Linked DNA regions of Drosophila melanogaster. The protein of the gene in region 1 purifies or fractionates together with the protein of each later gene. This does not show direct contact. Each region holds a gene or a part of one and is shown in the gene's direction. Other genes may lie near its edges.

Evidence for each region.
Region 2: the proteins of EMC4 (region 1) and EMC2B purify together in Drosophila melanogaster (affinity purification with mass spectrometry, with the first as the bait; one large-scale study listed by BioGRID). This does not show direct contact.
Region 3: the proteins of EMC4 (region 1) and EMC1 purify together in Drosophila melanogaster (affinity purification with mass spectrometry, with the first as the bait; one large-scale study listed by BioGRID). This does not show direct contact.

What each region holds. Positions count from the first base shown.
Region 1 is NT_037436.4:22,865,887-22,870,957, reverse strand, and holds EMC4 (ER membrane protein complex subunit 4), read left to right. Parts: upstream 1-2,714; 5' UTR 2,715-2,805; coding exon 2,806-2,861; intron 2,862-2,921; coding exon 2,922-3,051; intron 3,052-3,103; coding exon 3,104-3,418; 3' UTR 3,419-3,494; coding exon of another isoform or gene 3,495-3,558; 3' UTR 3,559-3,783; downstream 3,784-5,071. Other genes in the region: Arf1 (ADP ribosylation factor 1), read left to right, coding at 969-1,116, 1,184-1,293, 1,487-1,612, 1,712-1,876; CG33170 (uncharacterized protein), read right to left, coding at 4,994-5,071.
Region 2 is NT_033777.3:16,988,707-16,994,309, reverse strand, and holds EMC2B (ER membrane protein complex subunit 2B), read left to right. Parts: upstream 1-2,431; 5' UTR 2,432-2,542; coding exon 2,543-2,576; intron 2,577-2,717; coding exon 2,718-3,126; intron 3,127-3,252; coding exon 3,253-3,409; intron 3,410-3,471; coding exon 3,472-3,720; 3' UTR 3,721-3,976; downstream 3,977-5,603. Other genes in the region: CG31274 (uncharacterized protein), read right to left, coding at 213-579, 644-1,075, 1,130-1,173; MESK4 (misexpression suppressor of KSR 4), read right to left, coding at 4,425-4,791, 4,856-5,287, 5,342-5,385.
Region 3 is NT_033777.3:7,900,604-7,909,019, reverse strand, and holds EMC1 (ER membrane protein complex subunit 1), read left to right. Parts: upstream 1-1,656; 5' UTR 1,657-1,797; coding exon 1,798-1,892; intron 1,893-1,959; coding exon 1,960-2,602; intron 2,603-2,692; coding exon 2,693-2,839; intron 2,840-2,922; coding exon 2,923-3,235; intron 3,236-3,308; coding exon 3,309-3,329; intron 3,330-3,634; coding exon 3,635-3,969; intron 3,970-4,023; coding exon 4,024-4,218; intron 4,219-4,278; coding exon 4,279-4,356; intron 4,357-4,414; coding exon 4,415-4,616; intron 4,617-4,675; coding exon 4,676-4,828; intron 4,829-4,895; coding exon 4,896-5,066; intron 5,067-5,130; coding exon 5,131-5,364; intron 5,365-5,426; coding exon 5,427-5,587; 3' UTR 5,588-5,990; downstream 5,991-8,416. Other genes in the region: Taf7 (TBP-associated factor 7), read right to left, coding at 1-1,136, 1,201-1,395; wtrw (water witch), read right to left, coding at 8,266-8,416; mRpS9 (mitochondrial ribosomal protein S9), read left to right, coding at 6,388-6,483, 6,566-6,781, 6,840-7,013, 7,125-7,210, 7,276-7,636.

The sequences.
Region 1 (5,071 bases):
AGCACCTATCTTTGCGCACTACCGGTCCGGAGAAGAAGTCTCTGGGGTGTTAGTTCCCTGTAACAAACTTAGGTTTTTGGATATCCGATTGCTGTCAAACGAAAGGTTTCCGTATGTTTCGCTGGCAACCTTTTTTCTTTTTGTGTTCGTGCGAAACGGGCTTGCTCATTGCGTTCCTCCATTTTAACATGAATTGCTTAGCCATCGGTTGCAGCCTGCTCGGTTGCAGGGCTCAAAAGGCGGCAGCGGTGACTCACTGTAGAGTTTGGGAGCTTCCCCTCCGCCCAGCAAGTTCGCCGAAAACTGCAAGTTACCTGGCCTTATCATTCACGCACTTCTCAGCCCGCACGTTTCTTGCGTACTCTGTGTAAAGTGGGTGGAGGACGTTGGAAGGGAGGCGCTGAGCGCCGACAGCCGTCATGGTTCTATACTAAAAATCGATATCTTATCAGCAGCCGCTAGCGGGGCAAACACTAAAAGCAAGCGACTCGTGTTTCATACATCCTCCATTTCGCGTTGTATTTAAGTGTGGAATTAATTACATAAACAAATTTTCTGTTTTTCTCATGCTGACGCATTGAAGACGTCCTTATTACAATAAACAAAAACGAATTTCGTTTCTTTTTCCGGTTTTTCCGCTCTTCCGGTTTTTGTATGACTCAGAGTGGGTAAGCGCCATTCAACACGTAAGCGCGATCATAAGTGAAACAAACACCAGAGGAGCTTCGGCGCATCCGTCCTTTGTGATAGCTCTTCCTACCACGAAAAATTCTCGCCTACAACTGTCTATTTTTGGACTCTTCACAGATTCTCCCACTCCATGCACACAAGTGTGCAGTTTGCATATTCTGATCGGTATAGCAACTCGGATTTGAACTTGTCATAATTCCAGCCAGCAGACAGCGAGCAGGCCAACCAGAGATCCAACTTCCTACGACTACCGAGCATCCGAAAGACAAACAGCAGCCATGGGAAACGTATTCGCGAACTTATTCAAAGGCCTATTCGGCAAAAAGGAAATGAGGATATTGATGGTCGGTTTGGATGCCGCTGGTAAAACCACAATTCTGTACAAACTCAAATTAGGCGAAATTGTTACAACGATACCTACCATTGGTAAGTATCTTATTAGCACCTTTAATGTATCTTGTCCAAATCTAATATCTAATGGTTGTCCCCCTAGGTTTCAATGTGGAGACTGTAGAATACAAGAATATTAGCTTTACAGTGTGGGATGTGGGTGGCCAAGACAAAATTCGTCCCCTGTGGAGGCACTACTTCCAGAATACACAAGTAAGTGTGATTTCAGCTTTTCCACAGATTCCAGAAAATTCTATATGATGTTAACAGCTTGTAATGATTATGCATTGTGATTATTCAAGTTTATTTTGTTTCAAGACGGGACTGACTATATTATCTTAGAGATCTATCTCCTACGATTCAAGCCAGGACAATTGGAATAAAGTTTTCATTTGAATCGTTACAGGGTCTTATCTTCGTCGTGGACAGCAATGACCGAGAGCGTATCGGTGAGGCGAGAGAGGAGTTGATGCGCATGCTGGCAGAGGACGAGCTGAGGGATGCAGTCTTACTAATCTTCGCAAACAAACAGGTAGGTCCAAGCAAAGGTTGTCGTTATCAGTAGCCAGTTGCTCGGTCCTTATATTGTCATACTAATATTGCACCTCGCTCTTTTCTGGGATCATTTTAGGATCTGCCAAATGCAATGAACGCGGCCGAAATCACCGACAAGCTCGGCTTGCACTCACTCAGAAACCGCAACTGGTACATCCAGGCGACGTGTGCAACTAGCGGTGATGGGCTGTACGAGGGACTCGACTGGCTGTCCAACCAATTGAAGAACGCTAATCGCTAATTAAACACTAAAATTAAAGCAACAATATGAATACAACTAACTCTGATTTCAAGCGAGCCGAAGCAGTTAACCAGCAACCAGAACCATAGAAAGAGCGGCTGAAGGACATCCAACATCCAGCGGTAAACGGTGGAAATCGACATCAGAAGGAATTTTCACAAAACAGCAGCAGCGGCACCAACACCAACAACAAGAGCAGCAGATCTTCGCATAACTTAAAGGGCTCCGCATGTCCGTATTTCCAAACAAGAAACTGAAATTGTTTATTGAATTGCAAAAACATAACCTTTCAAGCAGCATATAAAGAACGCTATAATATAATTTAAATTCGTATACATAATTATTGGATGTTTAAAAGCAAATCGAGTAAAAGAAAAGCCCAACCAATCACACAAGAAAGGAAACTATAGTATATGGTATAAAAATGTCTTTTTTAAGTTATTTTTGTCCTCTCCCTACCCCTCATCAAAATATATATTTCTTTTTAATTTTATAATATTAAAGTAATATTAATGAGAAAAAACTGTAATTGTAATTGCTCTTTAAAAATACAACAAATACCATTTTAATTTTTAACCCTTCTGTTTCTTGTTGTCGCTTGGTCACGCAAAATCCATTAAAAATCACGCATATATATAAGACCATATTAAAAAGGAAAGTACTACTTAAAAGGTAATTTGAAATAAAATTTAAATATTAATGAAAACTACTGCGCTGTTCGATTTTTGCACATGCGTTTCAAAAAGTCCGCGCAAAATCGTAACTGCCTATCGATACCCTGGTGCCATACACATCAGTTGCCTATCGAATTGTCTACACTACAATAATTTCGGAATTTAACGTTGAACAACACTCAGCGACCAATTGTCAGAAAAAATCGTCATTTTGTTTTATAAATTGGCAAAAGATTAAATAAAAGAAAGCACAGCATGTCCGCCAAGCAAAACCCAAAAAAGTTAAAGTGGGCGCTGGACTTTAACGGGAGGTAAGGATTGCTAGCCTGCGCGGTGACTCAAGTTCTTACCACTTTTGCTTTTTCCTGCAGCAAAAATGCTGATATTCCTTCGCCGCTGGGCTACAATCCATCTGCTTTGGTGAACCAGAGTGAAGTGGTGCGCGACCAGCGCCTGGTCATCAAGAAGTCGTGGGACCTTGCCCTGGGACCTCTTAAGAACGTGAGTAGCAGCCCTTTGGAAAGACCCGTGCTTAACCTTTGGATTCCCTCAGATTCCCATGAATCTATTCATCATGTACATGTCAGGAAACTCGATTTCCATTTTTCCCATCATGATGGTCGGCATGATGCTGATCCGGCCTATCAAGGCCATCTTCACCACCCAGGTGACTTCCAAAATGGCGGAGGGGGCCCAGGGAACTGGCCAGCGCATCGTCTACTTCCTGGGCAACCTAGCAAACGTGGCTTTGGCCCTCTACAAGTGCCAGAGCATGGGGCTCCTCCCCACCCACGCCTCCGATTGGTTGGCATTTGTCCAGCCTCAGACACGCCTGGAATATTACGGCGGAGGAATTTCGTTTGTCTAGTTTTACACATATAGATTCTCTTTATTTGATCATAGATAAATTGGTTTAAACTAAAATTGTGGTCTTATTCCGCCAGTCAGTCGTCTAGTATCTTCTTGGCCTCCTTTTTGATGTCATCCACTAGTTTCTCGCCGGGCGATCTGTTAAAGAAAATAGTAAAATAATTAAGATACAGAATGATAATATGATCTTATTTAGCATTGATTTCGTCATGGTTGCACCTGGCAACAAATTTTTATTCGGAAAAGCCATCATTCACCACAGTAGAAAGATATCATCACGACTTCGCACGCATTTTTTCAGCACTTTGTCCTATTTTCAGAATTTGTAAAACAAGCGCGTGGAAAGCTTAATATAAGATATCGAAAAAAAATCCAGGTTTAGTTGACAAGTTCGACTTATAAAATTTTTACAATTTTAATTACAAAGGCATTTGACAGAGTGTGGCTCGATGGACTTTTGTTTAAAATAATCAAGCTGTTGCCCCAAAACACACATAAGCTACTGAAGTCATACCTATATAACAGAGTGTTTGCAATAAGATGCGATACAAGCACTTCACGCGATTGCGCAATCGAAGCTGGAGTGCCGCAAGGCAGTGTACTGGGTCCAATCTTATACACCCTGTATACGGCGGATTTCCCCATAGACTACAATCTAACAACCTCCACGTTCGCTGATGATACCGCGATACTCAGTCGCTCGAAATGCCCAATAAAAGCCACGGCACTCCTATCCCGACACTTAACATCTGTAGAACGATGGCTTGCCGACTGGAGAATTTCAATAAATGTTCAAAAATGCAAGCAGGTTACCTTTACCTTAAACAAACAAACATGCCCACCACTGGTCTTGAATAACATATGCATTCCACAAGCCGACGAGGTAACATATCTGGGAGTTCATCTGGACAGGCGGCTCACTTGGCGCAAACATATAGAAGCCAAATCGAAACATCTTAAACTTAAAGCAAGGAACCTCCACTGGCTCATAAATGCTCGCTCTCCACTTAGTCTGGAGTTCAAAGCTCTTCTATACAACTCCGTCTTAAAACCTATCTGGACTTATGGCTCCGAGCTGTGGGGCAACGCATCCAGAAGTAACATAGACATTATTCAGCGAGCACAGTCAAGAATTCTGAGAATTATCACTGGAGCGCCGTGGTACCTTCGAAACGAAAACATACACAGAGACCTAAAAATCAAATTAGTAATCGAAGTAATAGCTGAGAAAAAAACGAAGTATAACGAAAAGCTGACCACCCATACAAATCCCCTCGCAAGAAAACTAATCCGAGTATGCAGTCAAAGCCGGCTGCACCGCAACGACCTCCCAGCCCAGCAATAAACTTATTAGGGCATTAATGAAAAAAAAAAAAACTATCACTAAGTGAAAGTTAATTAAGTTAGATTAAGATTTGAACACTTATTGTTAGTCTCTTAACACAAAGGGAAGATTCAATAAATAATAAAAAAAATTATAAAAAAAAAAAAAAAAAAAATTACAAAGGTCGCTCTATGACTTTTTTGAATTTAGTGAAGGTAACGTTATCCTTGTACGAAACTACCAAGGCTGTTACTTGTTCTTGGTTTGATCCATTAGTTCTTTGAGTTTCTCGTTGAAACGCTGCATCAACTTCTGGGGATCATCCAC
Region 2 (5,603 bases), on another chromosome or scaffold:
GGTTTGTGCGTGTCCATCGTCATACAATTGCAAATTTATATACGTACATGGCAATAACCATATGCATATTTACTTGCATAGCACTGTAGGTGCAATCGACGACTGCAGGGCAGCGAGGGCAGCGCTGATAATCCAGCGGACGGTTAAAAATAGTCCAACAATGGGACAGAATGCAATCAGTGGAATACCCCTCCCTCCTTCGGCATATTACTTCAGTTTGTGGAGGAGCCGTTGCCAAACATCCGTCCGCTGTGCGATTTTCTGGAATACTTTGGACGGATGATGTCCTTGAAAGTGAATGCGGATGCGAGTGGAGGCTTTTCCGAATTGCTCGTGGAGTCCGGACCCTGTCCTTGTGAGGAAGACAGCGTCGCATAAGCTGCATTCCTGCTGGTTGGAAGTCCATCGAGATATTTTAGCTGGGGAAGCACCTGTAGTATATACTCGCGGGGTCCTTGGCCCCCGAAAACTGTGCGGATGCCAGGATTCCCCATGCAAGAGAGCTGATCCAGCGCAGGACAGTGCCGTTCGATGCGGTGTATCCAATCGGTTATATTTGCTATATCGCAATTGTTGATCCTGCAAGACGAATAGAATATGTGTTATTGCGTGGACCCATGTATGCAAGATTCAGGGTAATCACCACAAGATCCTTAAGCTCGGCAAATAAGGAAAAGTGTTTATGTCCAGGTTTACGTTGCGGTCCAGGATTAAAGTGTCCAGATCCTCGAAAAAGGAGAGAAATCTCAAGTTTCGGAAATCATTGTGACTCAAATCGAGAAACTTGGTCTGCGCTGCGAATTTGTCGGCCAGTCGCCGCGGAATTGTCTTCAGGTTCTCATAGGCCAGCGAAATGCGTCCGTTGTCCTCTAGGATGCTTTCCGAAAATGATACATCTTCACTTGGACAACTGCTGATGGAAATGTTGCCACTAAAGGAATACGGATTCGGCGTAATCATCTTCCCCACGTTGTCTTCGGTCAGCAAAACGTCGTTATATTCGTAGTTCAAGCTCTCCAGCGACTGAATGTTGGCACAATTCCTGAGGACCTCCGTTAGGCAGGGATTCAACGGGCTGGAAGCGGGATATTTTGGTCATTACATGGATTTTTGAATGCCTATCTACTACCTGTCTTCGGAGTTGGAGCGTTCAGAGGTCGATGTTCCAGACATAACGGCGTAGATCTACATAACTGGCAGCAGCTCCTATTCTTGGTGTTTTCCAATCGGGATCGGGACTCCGTCGGATGGTATTTATTTTGGTCCAACGTCTGTGGTAGACTGAGGGAAAAATGACACTTGACTCTCGCTCCGCGCAGATTATCTGGATCTTCCGCTCCCCAAGCAAACACATACCCATATCTGTGAGTGTATTGAAACAATTGTCATCTCGGTGGTCACAATCACCCAACGCACTCAAAGTACACTCGAAAAAAGCTCTGTTGGAAATGTAAACATGTAGTGAATCTTTTCTGCCACAATTCCTCCTTATTTTGAGATAAGTTTATAAATAAACGTTTTTTTTTCTCTGTAAAATTACTCGTTCAGATTAGTAAGTGTAAATGCACAAGTCGAGAACAACAAAGTAAGGTATGAGGAAGAAATCTCTATTGTTTTTCCTTTGTTGATGCTGATACTCTTCCACGGAATTATCTACGGAGATGGTGTGTTAGTTTTGCTGAACGCTTGGTATACTATTTAGTTATTGGTTTACCGAACTACTTATCCAGTTAGGAGTACGTTTGGTAAGAGGGTTTAAGGTGTTCTTTCTTATCTCTTTTATCAAACTCAGGAACTTTGTATTACCTTACGTGGCTGGGAACAATTGGACCATGTTAATGCGCTGCAAATAATTAATAAGAGCTCCTTGTAATATAAATCACATTTATTTACTTGTTTGTTCATATAGAGCTAAGTTGATCGATTGTGTCGTATGCCGAGTGCACTCAGAAACGGAAGGGAAACGTGAAAATATGTTGATTATGTGACTATACATATATACTAACATAAGTAAGCCATATGACTTCCTTAATTATCCAATAGGAATCTAAATTTATAATGTTTTCCGGTTGATCTTTTGAATTGGACTTTAAGATATTTGAATGGCAGAACGCAAAGGGTACTCTGCAAAAATGTTATTACTTGTACCCATCTTGTACCCATATCTGGCATACCACAAGGGAAACACCTAGGTTCGCTCCTTTTTACCGTATTCATTAATGACCTAGTTATTATAGTTATATCACCTTCTCGTTTACTTATGTATGCAGATGAGAGGAAAGGATATATATACATCATTGGATCGGAAACGCTTTCTTTTACAAACTAGTCAACAAATCCTGCATACTGTGTAACTGTAGAGTAGAGTCTTACGATATTCAAAAAGTAGGTTGGCAGCGCCACGCCACTGTTATTTGGTATAATCTAACGGCCCATTATGCTGCCACACTTTTATTTTGCCAGGAAAGGAAATCGGCAGTTAAAGATTACAATTGGAAAATTAAGTTAAATTAATGAGATATTTAAGTGCGCCTAAGTGAATATGTCGCTAGATTATGAGAAGATGAGCTGGTCGGGTGAGTTTTTGGCTTTTCCCGGCTTCAAACAGGTGCAGACCACGTCAGTGGGTTGCTCCCAATCGCCCGGTTTCCGTGGACCCAAAAAACGGGGCCATGAATGAAAAGTGCGGTATCATAATCGTATGATCATCCTTCCAGATGTACGCGATCAGTTCAGAACATGGCGCGAGGAGACGGGTCGCCACAGCGAGGAGGTGGTCCAGCTGTGGGTTGCTGTGCTGGAGGACAAGGTGCACAAGACCGGCAACGAGCGGCATCTCATCCTGGAGCAGGTGATCATCGCGGCATTGGATACGGCTCGCTTTGACATCGCCACCAAGTGTACCAAGCAGCTGGCCCTCGAGTTCCCGGGCAGCCTGCGCGTGATGAAGTTCAAAGCGATGCGCTACGAGGCCCTGGAGCAGTACGATGAGGCCGACGAGGTCCTGGATGCAATCATTGCTAAGGACGAGACAAATGCCGCGCCCAGGAAGCGCAAGATTGCCATCCTTAAGGCCCGTGGTCGTCGCCTGGAGGCCATCAAGGAGCTCAACGAGTATCTGAAGAAGTAAGAAAGCTAAGTTCATGGTGTTTTTGGAAGAACGGAACCAAATTAGTTTCCGGCATCCGGTTGCTAGACAACTACTTATCTTACCATGTACGATAATCTCATAACTATTTAATATTCCTTCAGGTTTATGTCTGACCAGGAGGCATGGCATGAGCTGTGCAACATGTATCTGGCTGAAGGCGAGTTTGGCAAAGCTGCCTTCTGCATGGAGGAGGTTTTGCTGCACAATCCGCATAGCCATCTAATACACCAGCGTTTGGCAGAAATACGATACACAATGGTGAGCTATATAAGCCCACTAACCAGTAATGAAGTCCATCTTATGAATTAATTTTCTTTCAGGGTGGCGTCGAGAATATGGAATCGGCTCGCACTTACTATTCGCAGGCCCTGAAGCTTAATCCGCATAACTTGAGGGCCCTTTATGGCATTTACTTGTGCTGCAACCATTTGGACAACTCTCGAGCCGTGAGCTCCAAACGGAAGGAGCTGCAAAAGTTGAGTCAGTGGGCCCTCGAACAACTTTTGACTAAACAAACGATTGTACCCTTGGAGGCTGCTTTTGGAAACCTGGAAATCAAATCGAATTGACCAACATAAGCACTACAAATTTGTGCAATAGATGCCAGAATGTAATGGTTCCAAATATTTTCAGATGTGGGTTTCCAGTTTCTGTTCTTTAAGCAAGTTACATAGATAAACAATTAAAGAAATAGGAGTAAAAACAATTTTATAGTCAGTGCATCCAAGCAACTGTTTTTGGTGGTCTAGTATTGTTGACGGCATTGAAAAACATTTATTATTGAGGTAGGCAAAAATAGTCCTGTAATAAATTTAGATTAAACGCAATGAACTGGTTACTTTGAATCATAATTTTAATCTTTGGCCTCAAGTTTTAAGCAATATTAACTCGTGCCCATGTGCTTACATCCGTAAAATTAATCGGGCACTGAACGACATTCAGAATAAGTCGAAGAACATTTATTCTGAAGATGGTGCCTATTGTATACTTGACTATTCGCTGAGGTCATTGACTCTTATTATTGTAAAAATTGCTTTAATGCACTAGATTAATTCTCACTAGGTTTGTGCGTGTCCATCGTCATACAATTGCAAATTTATATACGTACATGGCAATAACCATATGCATATTTACTTGCATAGCACTGTAGGTGCAATCGACGACTGCAGGGCAGCGAGGGCAGCGCTGATAATCCAGCGGACGGTTAAAAATAGTCCAACAATGGGACAGAATGCAATCAGTGGAATACCCCTCCCTCCTTCGGCATATTACTTCAGTTTGTGGAGGAGCCGTTGCCAAACATCCGTCCGCTGTGCGATTTTCTGGAATACTTTGGACGGATGATGTCCTTGAAAGTGAATGCGGATGCGAGTGGAGGCTTTTCCGAATTGCTCGTGGAGTCCGGACCCTGTCCTTGTGAGGAAGACAGCGTCGCATAAGCTGCATTCCTGCTGGTTGGAAGTCCATCGAGATATTTTAGCTGGGGAAGCACCTGTAGTATATACTCGCGGGGTCCTTGGCCCCCGAAAACTGTGCGGATGCCAGGATTCCCCATGCAAGAGAGCTGATCCAGCGCAGGACAGTGCCGTTCGATGCGGTGTATCCAATCGGTTATATTTGCTATATCGCAATTGTTGATCCTGCAAGACGAATAGAATATGTGTTATTGCGTGGACCCATGTATGCAAGATTCAGGGTAATCACCACAAGATCCTTAAGCTCGGCAAATAAGGAAAAGTGTTTATGTCCAGGTTTACGTTGCGGTCCAGGATTAAAGTGTCCAGATCCTCGAAAAAGGAGAGAAATCTCAAGTTTCGGAAATCATTGTGACTCAAATCGAGAAACTTGGTCTGCGCTGCGAATTTGTCGGCCAGTCGCCGCGGAATTGTCTTCAGGTTCTCATAGGCCAGCGAAATGCGTCCGTTGTCCTCTAGGATGCTTTCCGAAAATGATACATCTTCACTTGGACAACTGCTGATGGAAATGTTGCCACTAAAGGAATACGGATTCGGCGTAATCATCTTCCCCACGTTGTCTTCGGTCAGCAAAACGTCGTTATATTCGTAGTTCAAGCTCTCCAGCGACTGAATGTTGGCACAATTCCTGAGGACCTCCGTTAGGCAGGGATTCAACGGGCTGGAAGCGGGGTATTTTGGTCATTACATGGATTTTTGAATGCCTATCTACTACCTGTCTTCGGAGTTGGAGCGTTCAGAGGTCGATGTTCCAGACATAACGGCGTAGATCTACATAACTGGCAGCAGCTCCTATTCTTGGTGTTTTCCAATCGGGATCGGGACTCCGTCGGATGGTATTTATTTTGGTCCAACGTCTGTGGTAGACTGAGGGAAAAATGACACTTGACTCTCGCTCCGCGCAGATTATCTGGATCTTCCGCTCCCCAAGCAAACACATACCCATATCTGTGAGTGTATTGAAACAATTGTCATCT
Region 3 (8,416 bases), on another chromosome or scaffold:
TGAATGGAAGCAATTTCCGTTGACTTTTGCACCTGCTGCGCTTTCAGTTCACGAATCTGGCGCGTCAGTTGATTGATCTTCTGCTGGACCTGTTGCTGCGTGTACTGCGGCTGCGGTTCGTCTATGAATTCCATGTTCTCGAACTCCTCGCGCTTGGCTAGCATTTGGCTATCGTAGAAGCCACTGGGAGCAGCAAGGTTGGAGCTTGATCCGGCGGCGCTGAGCTTAGGACTGCTGGCTTCATGCCCAAACATAGACTTGCTGAACACGTTCTGCTCCATTTTCACTACGCCCGCTCCAGTATTACTGCCACTAGCGCCAAAGAAGTCCGACATTCGTGAATCATCAGCCGAGAGTCGTGAGGATTCCTCCATCACCCGCCGCTGCATGGTGTTATTGCCCCGATCGGGCTCATCCTCGTCATCCGTGCTGGACACTTCCTCGCCGAAGATGTCGTGGACAGCAACTCCCATGTTCGGCGCCCGGTGTGAGGGAAAGTTGCTGGCTTCGTCATCATCGGACTCCACTTGGAGGTGCCGCTGGGAGCTCATTTCCATGATCGTCTTTTCGCTGGCATGCATGGTGCTTTCGTCCTGCAAATCGTCATCCGCATCGTTGTAGGGTTTGATGTCCGATTGCTCCAGTTCATCCATTGGCTTGTCCTCTTCGTTTATGATTTCATAGTCAACTCTGACAGCCTCGTTGTCAATGCGCAGCAGATGTTTCACTTCCTTCTCAATCTCGGGAGCTTCGACATTCTTTTTCTTCAGAGTTTTGCGGAATCGTCGTTTTCTCACATTCTTGCACGGCGGTGTGATGCCGTGCGGAAAGAGGTATTTTTTGTCCACCTTGTTGGGGTCCTTCTTTTTGTTCTTGTTGGGCGACTCCTTTTCCGTCTCGTCCTCCCGCTCCTCCTTGCAAATGAGTATTTGGCAGATGTCTGCCGACTTGTAGAAGCTCTTGTTGTCAATGGTCTTGTAGCTCTCGACGACGGTGGGCAAATCCACGAGTTTCGTGTACAGTATCTGATCATCTATTCGCACTTCACCGTACCTCAGATCCGGATCCAGTTGGATGGTCAGCCGGTCCTTAATGGTGCCAGCATTTATTGCCTCATGGACCGTGTCCGCCAGTTCCTGCGGAGAATCCGTCAATTTGCACGGCTTGTTGTGATGTTTGTTTGTGCTATGTATGGCTTACCTTCGGCACGCGCATGATAAACTGGCTCTCCAGCTCTACGCCATCATCCCGGGCCTTGTGCTCCGCTTGCTTAACCTTGTCGCTCTTCTTTTCAAACATTTCAATGCGATTTTTCCAGAAAAATACAACTTCTTTTGAAGACACTAAATGCTCATTAGAGATGGGAGTTAGATGGGGCACCGCTAGTGATGGCATTCACGTCACAGTTATCGCTGCGAGCACGACGAATATTTAAAATGGTTCACACTGCAGCCGCATCTGCAGAAATATAAGCCCTGTATACCGCAAAATGGCAAGGCATTTTATTTTTTAATCTTTTTACCAACAAATTTAATCATAAAGGTGAAGACCGAATGGGTTTGCCGTACGTTGAAAGGGGATGAGCCGCACTGCTTTGAATATCGGATGTGAGTCCGCTGAACTATCGATAAGGCAATCGTCAGCCAACCCTGCTCCAATTTCGTCTTCTCATCCCTTTTGCCATGACGGAAAACACGAATTGATGTGGATTTCTACTAATTTATAACATAAAAATACGTCAAAAGTTGAACAATCAGAGATCGAGCTAGTCGAAGGTCAGCAAGCAAGGCGGACGACATGCAGGAGAAGTGGTTACTGCCCGCACTTTCGCTGGCGCTCCTATTGGGCACCTGCTCGGCGCTCTACGAAGACCAGATCAAAAAGTTCGACTGGTGAGTGTGGTACGATATCTGACCATTGACCCGGCGCTAATACGGCGGATATGTGCGGCTTTTGCAGGCGAGGCGTCAATGTGGGAGCACTGAAGCAGTCTCGCGTCGACCTCAACCATTTTCAGCCGCGGATTCTGGTCACCACCTATGAGGGAGTGGTGGCCAGTCTGTGCGTAAAGACCGGCGAATTGGTGTGGCGGCAGGTGCTCGAGCAGAAGCCGCGCGGCGACGTCAAGCTGCTCCAGGTGAGCGGATTCGCCGATGACAGCAGCGACACGGCCGCCGCTCCGATGGGCAGCAACATGGGCTTCGACATGCTCACCGTTCAGGGACACGCTCCTGCTTTGGTGCGCGGCTGGAACACCAATATGGGTGCCCTTGAGTGGGAGTGGTCCATCATGCCCATGAACACGGAGCGGGCCCAGGACGCCATGTGGATCTACAGCAAATCCGTGCTATATCACGTGCTGCCTGCCTGGCGGAGCCACCTCGAGGTGACGGCGTATTTCGCCAGCTCGGGCCACAGCACTGGCAGCACCAGCAAGGTAATAGCTCCTTGGATCACCTCAGAGAGCTGCACCCTTAGCGGCACCTTCTACGTTTGTACGGACGGAAAGCAGTTGATTAGTTTGGATCTCGTTTCCAAAAGCGGTCAAGTAATCCGTACTTCGCTCGAGGCGGAGCCGAAGGGAAAAACTCAGGCCTTGACGGTGAGGAAAAAACTTTGCTATTGCTTTTATTGAAAGTGAAGTAATAGATTGTTGTAAGTGAAGTTATAATTCGTCCAAACATTTCTATAGGGTCTGAATGGTGTTGTGATTGTGGATGGGAAGCCAATTAGTGTCAACAAGGACCAATCGATCTGCGGTGATCTGCGAAGCTCCAGCTTCGCCGTGGGCAGCTTTAACTATCGCAAAGTCTTGGCCTATGCAGATCTGTCCTCTGGAGTACGTTTAAACTTATATTTACTGTTCTATTCTACTATTTCTATGTGAAAACTAATTGTTTCTTTCCCTGTGCGTATGAACAGATCCTCAGGATCAATGCTCTGTATTTGGATAACTGTGCACCGGCAGCGGAGTTGGAGCAGAGTCTGCCATTCCCCGAGCATTTTGGCACTCCGTCGCTGAGCAACTTCGACTGTAAGCAGAAGCGCAATGGCGAGGGCAAGAACTGTCTGTTTTTGTTTAGCAGCACCTCGGAGTCCATCGTGGCAGTGCAGCATGGACGCGTTCGTTGGTCGCGCGAGGAGTCGCTGGCAAATGTGATCGACTCGCAGTTTGTGGATCTACCGCTTGCCGATACTGAGGGCACATTGGAGAACGAGATGAAGGGCAAGGCCGGTGAGTGTACTTGACTTATGCACTACTTTAAGGTGAACTCATAAAATTTATTATTGAAAATTCATACCAAAAGGGGATTTCACAAGTTTTGAGAGTAAGTGAACGTTCACAGCAAACTAATCATGCAATATTGTTTGTTACATGTTTATCACTTTTAATTTTGTGTTTTTTTTTTTAATGTTTATTGAACGTACCACTAATCTAAAAACGAATGTTTACTAACAAATTCAAGCATGCTTCGCTAGTTTAAAGCTAAGTGTATTACTTTTACTTTTTTACTGTCCAATAATTAATTTCCAATGTAAACTAAAATATGAAATATCTTTGGTATATCGTTAATGTTTAAAGATCATATTAAATTGTTCTTTACTAATATTTATGTTTTCACCACGTAAACAGGAGACATTGCCAGTGCCTTTTTGCGTCGCATCACCACTCAAGCTGTTCAGATTCGGAGCTTGTTCCTTCATGTTATCGGACTGGGTCCTCCACCTACAGACACCCAGCGAGCCGGCTTGGTCAGAGACTCCTTTGGCCTCCACAAGATGCTGGTTTTACTGACGCGTGCTGGAAAGATTTTTGGCATTGACAATGTCTCTGGGAAACATCACTGGCAGCTGCATCTTCCCAATGTTATTGGATTCGCTAACGACGAACAGATGCGTCTGATTGTCCAGCGCTCGGCCAAACACTTTCCACTTCAGCCGTTGTGCACTATTTTGGGCAAGAATGCTGTAGGTCTGACTGACAAATCGCATAGTTCCCACGCTAATTCTAATCGTTTATAGGTCAGCGGCAATGGTGTGCTCTATCGTTTTAATCCTATTACCGGCAAAGTAGCCGAAGGTGGCCTTGTTCAGCTGGACTACAGAATTAAGCAGCTTTCGTTGCTGGGAGAAACGGAAAAGGACTTTCTGAAGGGCATTCTGTTACTGGATGCTTCGAATAAGGTACATGTTTATCCCGAACATGCGGCCCCACTGGTAAGATATAAAATTCTATGATATATCAATAGAGTTGAAAATCTTTACATGCACGTACAGGCTGATGGCATGTATCTGTACACCGCCGATTTGAAAACTGCAGAGCTGGCCGGCTACTTTGTTAAATATGCGGGCGGGGTAAGTAATGCAGCCTTTTAATATGAAAGCACTTAACTTATTAAACCATTTCCGTTAGCAACTGTCCAGCACGCACATCTGGAATGCTCGCCTGGGCGGCCACAATTCCGAGCAGCAGATTATCGGCGTTGCCGGCAAGAATCCCATCGAGCATGTCCACTCCCAGGGACGTGTGCTGGGCGATCGATCGGTGCTGTACAAGTACATCAACCCTAATCTAGTGGCTTTCGTCACACAGGCACCGGATTCCACACACAAATGTGAGTCTGCATGCGCTTCGTGTAATTAAGCATTCATTTAAATGGCACTTACTCCATAGCCGTGCTAAATTTGTATCTGGTTGATGTGGTCTCCGGCTCTGTGGTTTTCACCATGACGCATCGTAAGGTCCGTGCACCACTGAGCATTGTCCACTCCGAAAACTGGCTTGCCTACTCCTACTTCAACGAGAAATTGCGTCGCACAGAGATTAGTAAGTTACAACAGCGATAGCCATTGACAAGTACCTATATTTACTAAACTTTATTTACTTGCTACAGCCACAATCGAACTGTACGAGGGCAAGAGTCAGGCAAACAGCAGTGTTTGGAGTTCCTTGCAAGCTCCGCCAATGCCCCTCGTGGAGCGCCAGTCTTATATACTGCCCACAATAGTTGAGGCTCTGCGGGAAACTATCACGGAGCGCGGAATCACCAACAAGCATGTGCTTAGTGAGCATTAACGAAAGTAATTTGAACGCCAAATAGGATGCTAACCATTTGTCATTAATTCTAGTCGGCACTGCCAGTGGTTCCATTGTGGAAATGCCGTGGCATTTGCTGGATCCCCGACGTCCTATCGCATCCACGACTCAGGGACGTGAAGAAGGAGCCATCCCCTACATACCCGAGCTGCCTTTGCCAACAGAGAGCCACATAAATTACAACCAGACGGTTGCCCGTCTGCGTAATATTTACACCGCGCCCAGTGGCTTGGAGAGTACCTGTCTAGTCGTTGCTACGGGCTTAGGTAAGGGAGATTTATCAAACGCGATTTTGGTTAAAGCACTGTAAACCATTTTTATTTGACAGATTTGTTCGTTACGCGCGTGGCGCCATCAAAGACGTTCGACTTGCTGAAGGAGGACTTTGATTATATTCTCATTTCCATAGTGCTAGTCGCGCTCACATCAGGCTCGTTGATTGTTAAGCATTTAGCGTCGCGTAAATTGCTCAAGCAGGCGTGGAAATAGGCTTGGCATTATTATTAAATAATTGCTTTAAATATATATAAATTGTACTGCGACCAAATACCACAAGGGAGGATGGAATGATGATGAGAGAATGTAAATCGGCGAGATACTATTGATATATATAACAGAATTCTGATAGCTGCATTACATCCCACAATGCGAATAAAACCTTTTATCAACGCTAAGCCTAGGCAATTATTTATAACTAATTATATAGCGTTAAACATCAAATAACTATAATTAGCTGTTGAAAGGTTTTCATTGCATGTTCTGTTCCTTTGATTTGTGTTCGTTTAAATTTCCATTTGAAAATATCAGCATTGAAAGAGTGTTTAAAAAGTATAGTCAATAAAAGCATTTGTAAAGGTGGACAACGGTAAAGTAAATAAACAATTTTTTCATCAGAATTAACTGATTGTTGGGATTAATTAGGAGGTGGATTCAAAAAATTTTTGATAATTAAAACAAAAAATATAAATAATAAAAATACAATTAAATCAAAAATTCATAGCGTCTATTACCTGATTTATTTAGGACAATTTTTTTTAGAATTTCCTGTAAAGTATAAAAGGAATTATTATTATAATACTTATCTCAAAAATGAAGTAATTTTCACCGTCTTATAACATTGTAAGAAAGTTGTGGTTTTATAGCTTAATAAATTAAAAATACAAATAAAAAAATTTTTAAATGGGCGCCAAAAATCAGCTGAAAGCTTGTGTGTTTTCCAACACCGACCATCCAACTTTAACCGACTGAAACATATGTTTATTCTCTTCTTCTTCCGCAAAATTGAAAGGATGGCACTGCGTGTTTTTGGCTTAAATATAGTAAAAAATAACAGGAATCTGCTGCAAAATGCATGCAAATCCAGGGCACCGATGCCATGCTACATGGTTGGTACAATAGTCAAGTCAATAGACTTGACACTTTTCACTGTTCCCAATTGTGAGACCAAACGTTTGCATAACCTTTCAGGCAGCGGCTCCATTTGCCACCGATGTGACCGTCCAGGCTGCTCCGGCGGCTGTCCAGAAGCAAAGGGTGAGCAAGGCCATGCGGGCGTACCTGAAAAGAGCCACCGAACACGACGAGTTCATGAAGACCCAGCACCTGGAGTTCCAGATCGGAAAGCGGCACCTGGCCAACATGATGGGCGCCGATGCGGAGACGTTTACCCAGGAGGACATAGACGTGAGATATTTGGCTATGAAAATTTTAAGGGGCTATTTTACCTCATTATCAATTACAGGAGGCGATATCCTATCTGTTCCCTTCCGGATTGTACGACCAAAAGGCCCGGCCGGCTATGAAGTCACCCGAGGTTGTCTTCCCCGCCCGCAAGGCTGCGGAATTCGATGAGACGGGCAGACCATTCCACAGCATGTTCTACACCGGCAAACCCAACTTCTTCCAACTGCTTCATGTGAGTAATTGCGCAACTTGGGAACTTCATTACTTAAGAAAGAAGAATGATGAATTAATTTTAAGTGGTTTGGTAGAAAGGTATTAACTACTTTTCCTTTTTAATTACCAGGACATTGTAGAAGAAACTAACAAGCTGGCGGATCTGGAGGAGCGCATGCTACGGCGCGGCAATAAACCCGATGAGAACCAAAAACTGTAAACAAGCTATGCATTTTTTGAAAATTAAGTACTTTGACCTTGTTTTATATATTTTATTTTAGTGAGATTGCCGGCTTTCAGCTGCTGCCCAAGGACCAGTTGGAACTTTTGCTAGTTGAGAGCATTGCCGATATCGAATACTCCAACTTTACCAACTCCATGGATCGCCTGATCGCATCGCCATATGCTTACAAGAGCAAAGCATTCATCGAGCGATACATGAAACCGCTGATGGACCAGTCCAAGCAGCTGGAGGTGCCCAAACCAAGGATCGATGAAGAGGGTCGCCAGTACATCACCACCTACGAGTGCCTGCGCAAAACTGCTAGAGCCGATGTCACAGTGCGGCTACCCGGAACAGGAAAAATCAGCATTAATGGAAAGGATATCTCATACTTTGAGGACGAAAACTGCAGAGAACAGGTGAGTGAAGTCATGTACAGCTTAAGCTTCTGCTGAGGATAGGTTCCTTGTTGAAATATGAATTCACAACTGCAGTTAAGAGCAATTGAAAATCCTATTGAATTAATATTACGAAAAGTTTATTCTTGAGACTTTATTCAATTGAAATGATATATTATAAAATTTATATCAGTTTATATCAGTTACCTTGACATCGCTCAATTTGGCCGACAGCTGCAAATAAGAACGTCTCTTTTCATAACAATAGATATATAGCATATACTTTATTAAGAGTAATAATTTGCATTAAATTACTATATAAACGATTCTCTGACGACAACGCCAAAACAACAAAGACACAGCCTGGAACCAGCCACAAATCAATCCTGCCAACTGCTCGCCTCTAGTTCAACTAAACGCTAGTTATAGTATTTGTATCAATAGTGTAGTGTATGTAGGATATATGGCTATATAGCGTATGCATATTGCGCCTGGCGCATCGATATCAAAATTGGTTTAACTACAACTCGCTGCTACGATAATATCAACAATGTTCTGGATTCTTTGGGGCCTACACGACCCCCTTACGTCTAAAAAAGGTCAAACTGTGATCTATAAATATTCCGAATGGGGTGCAGTAAATGCTCCTGCTACTTGCGCAGATTCTGTTTCTGCTGATTGGAGATCACAATCAGCAGCTTGTCGATCACCTTGCTGGCTTGCTGTTGCTGCGAGATGAGCGCCTGCTTTAGCTCCTGGATCTCCTGGGTGAGGAACTCGATCCGATCAGCATTGTCATCG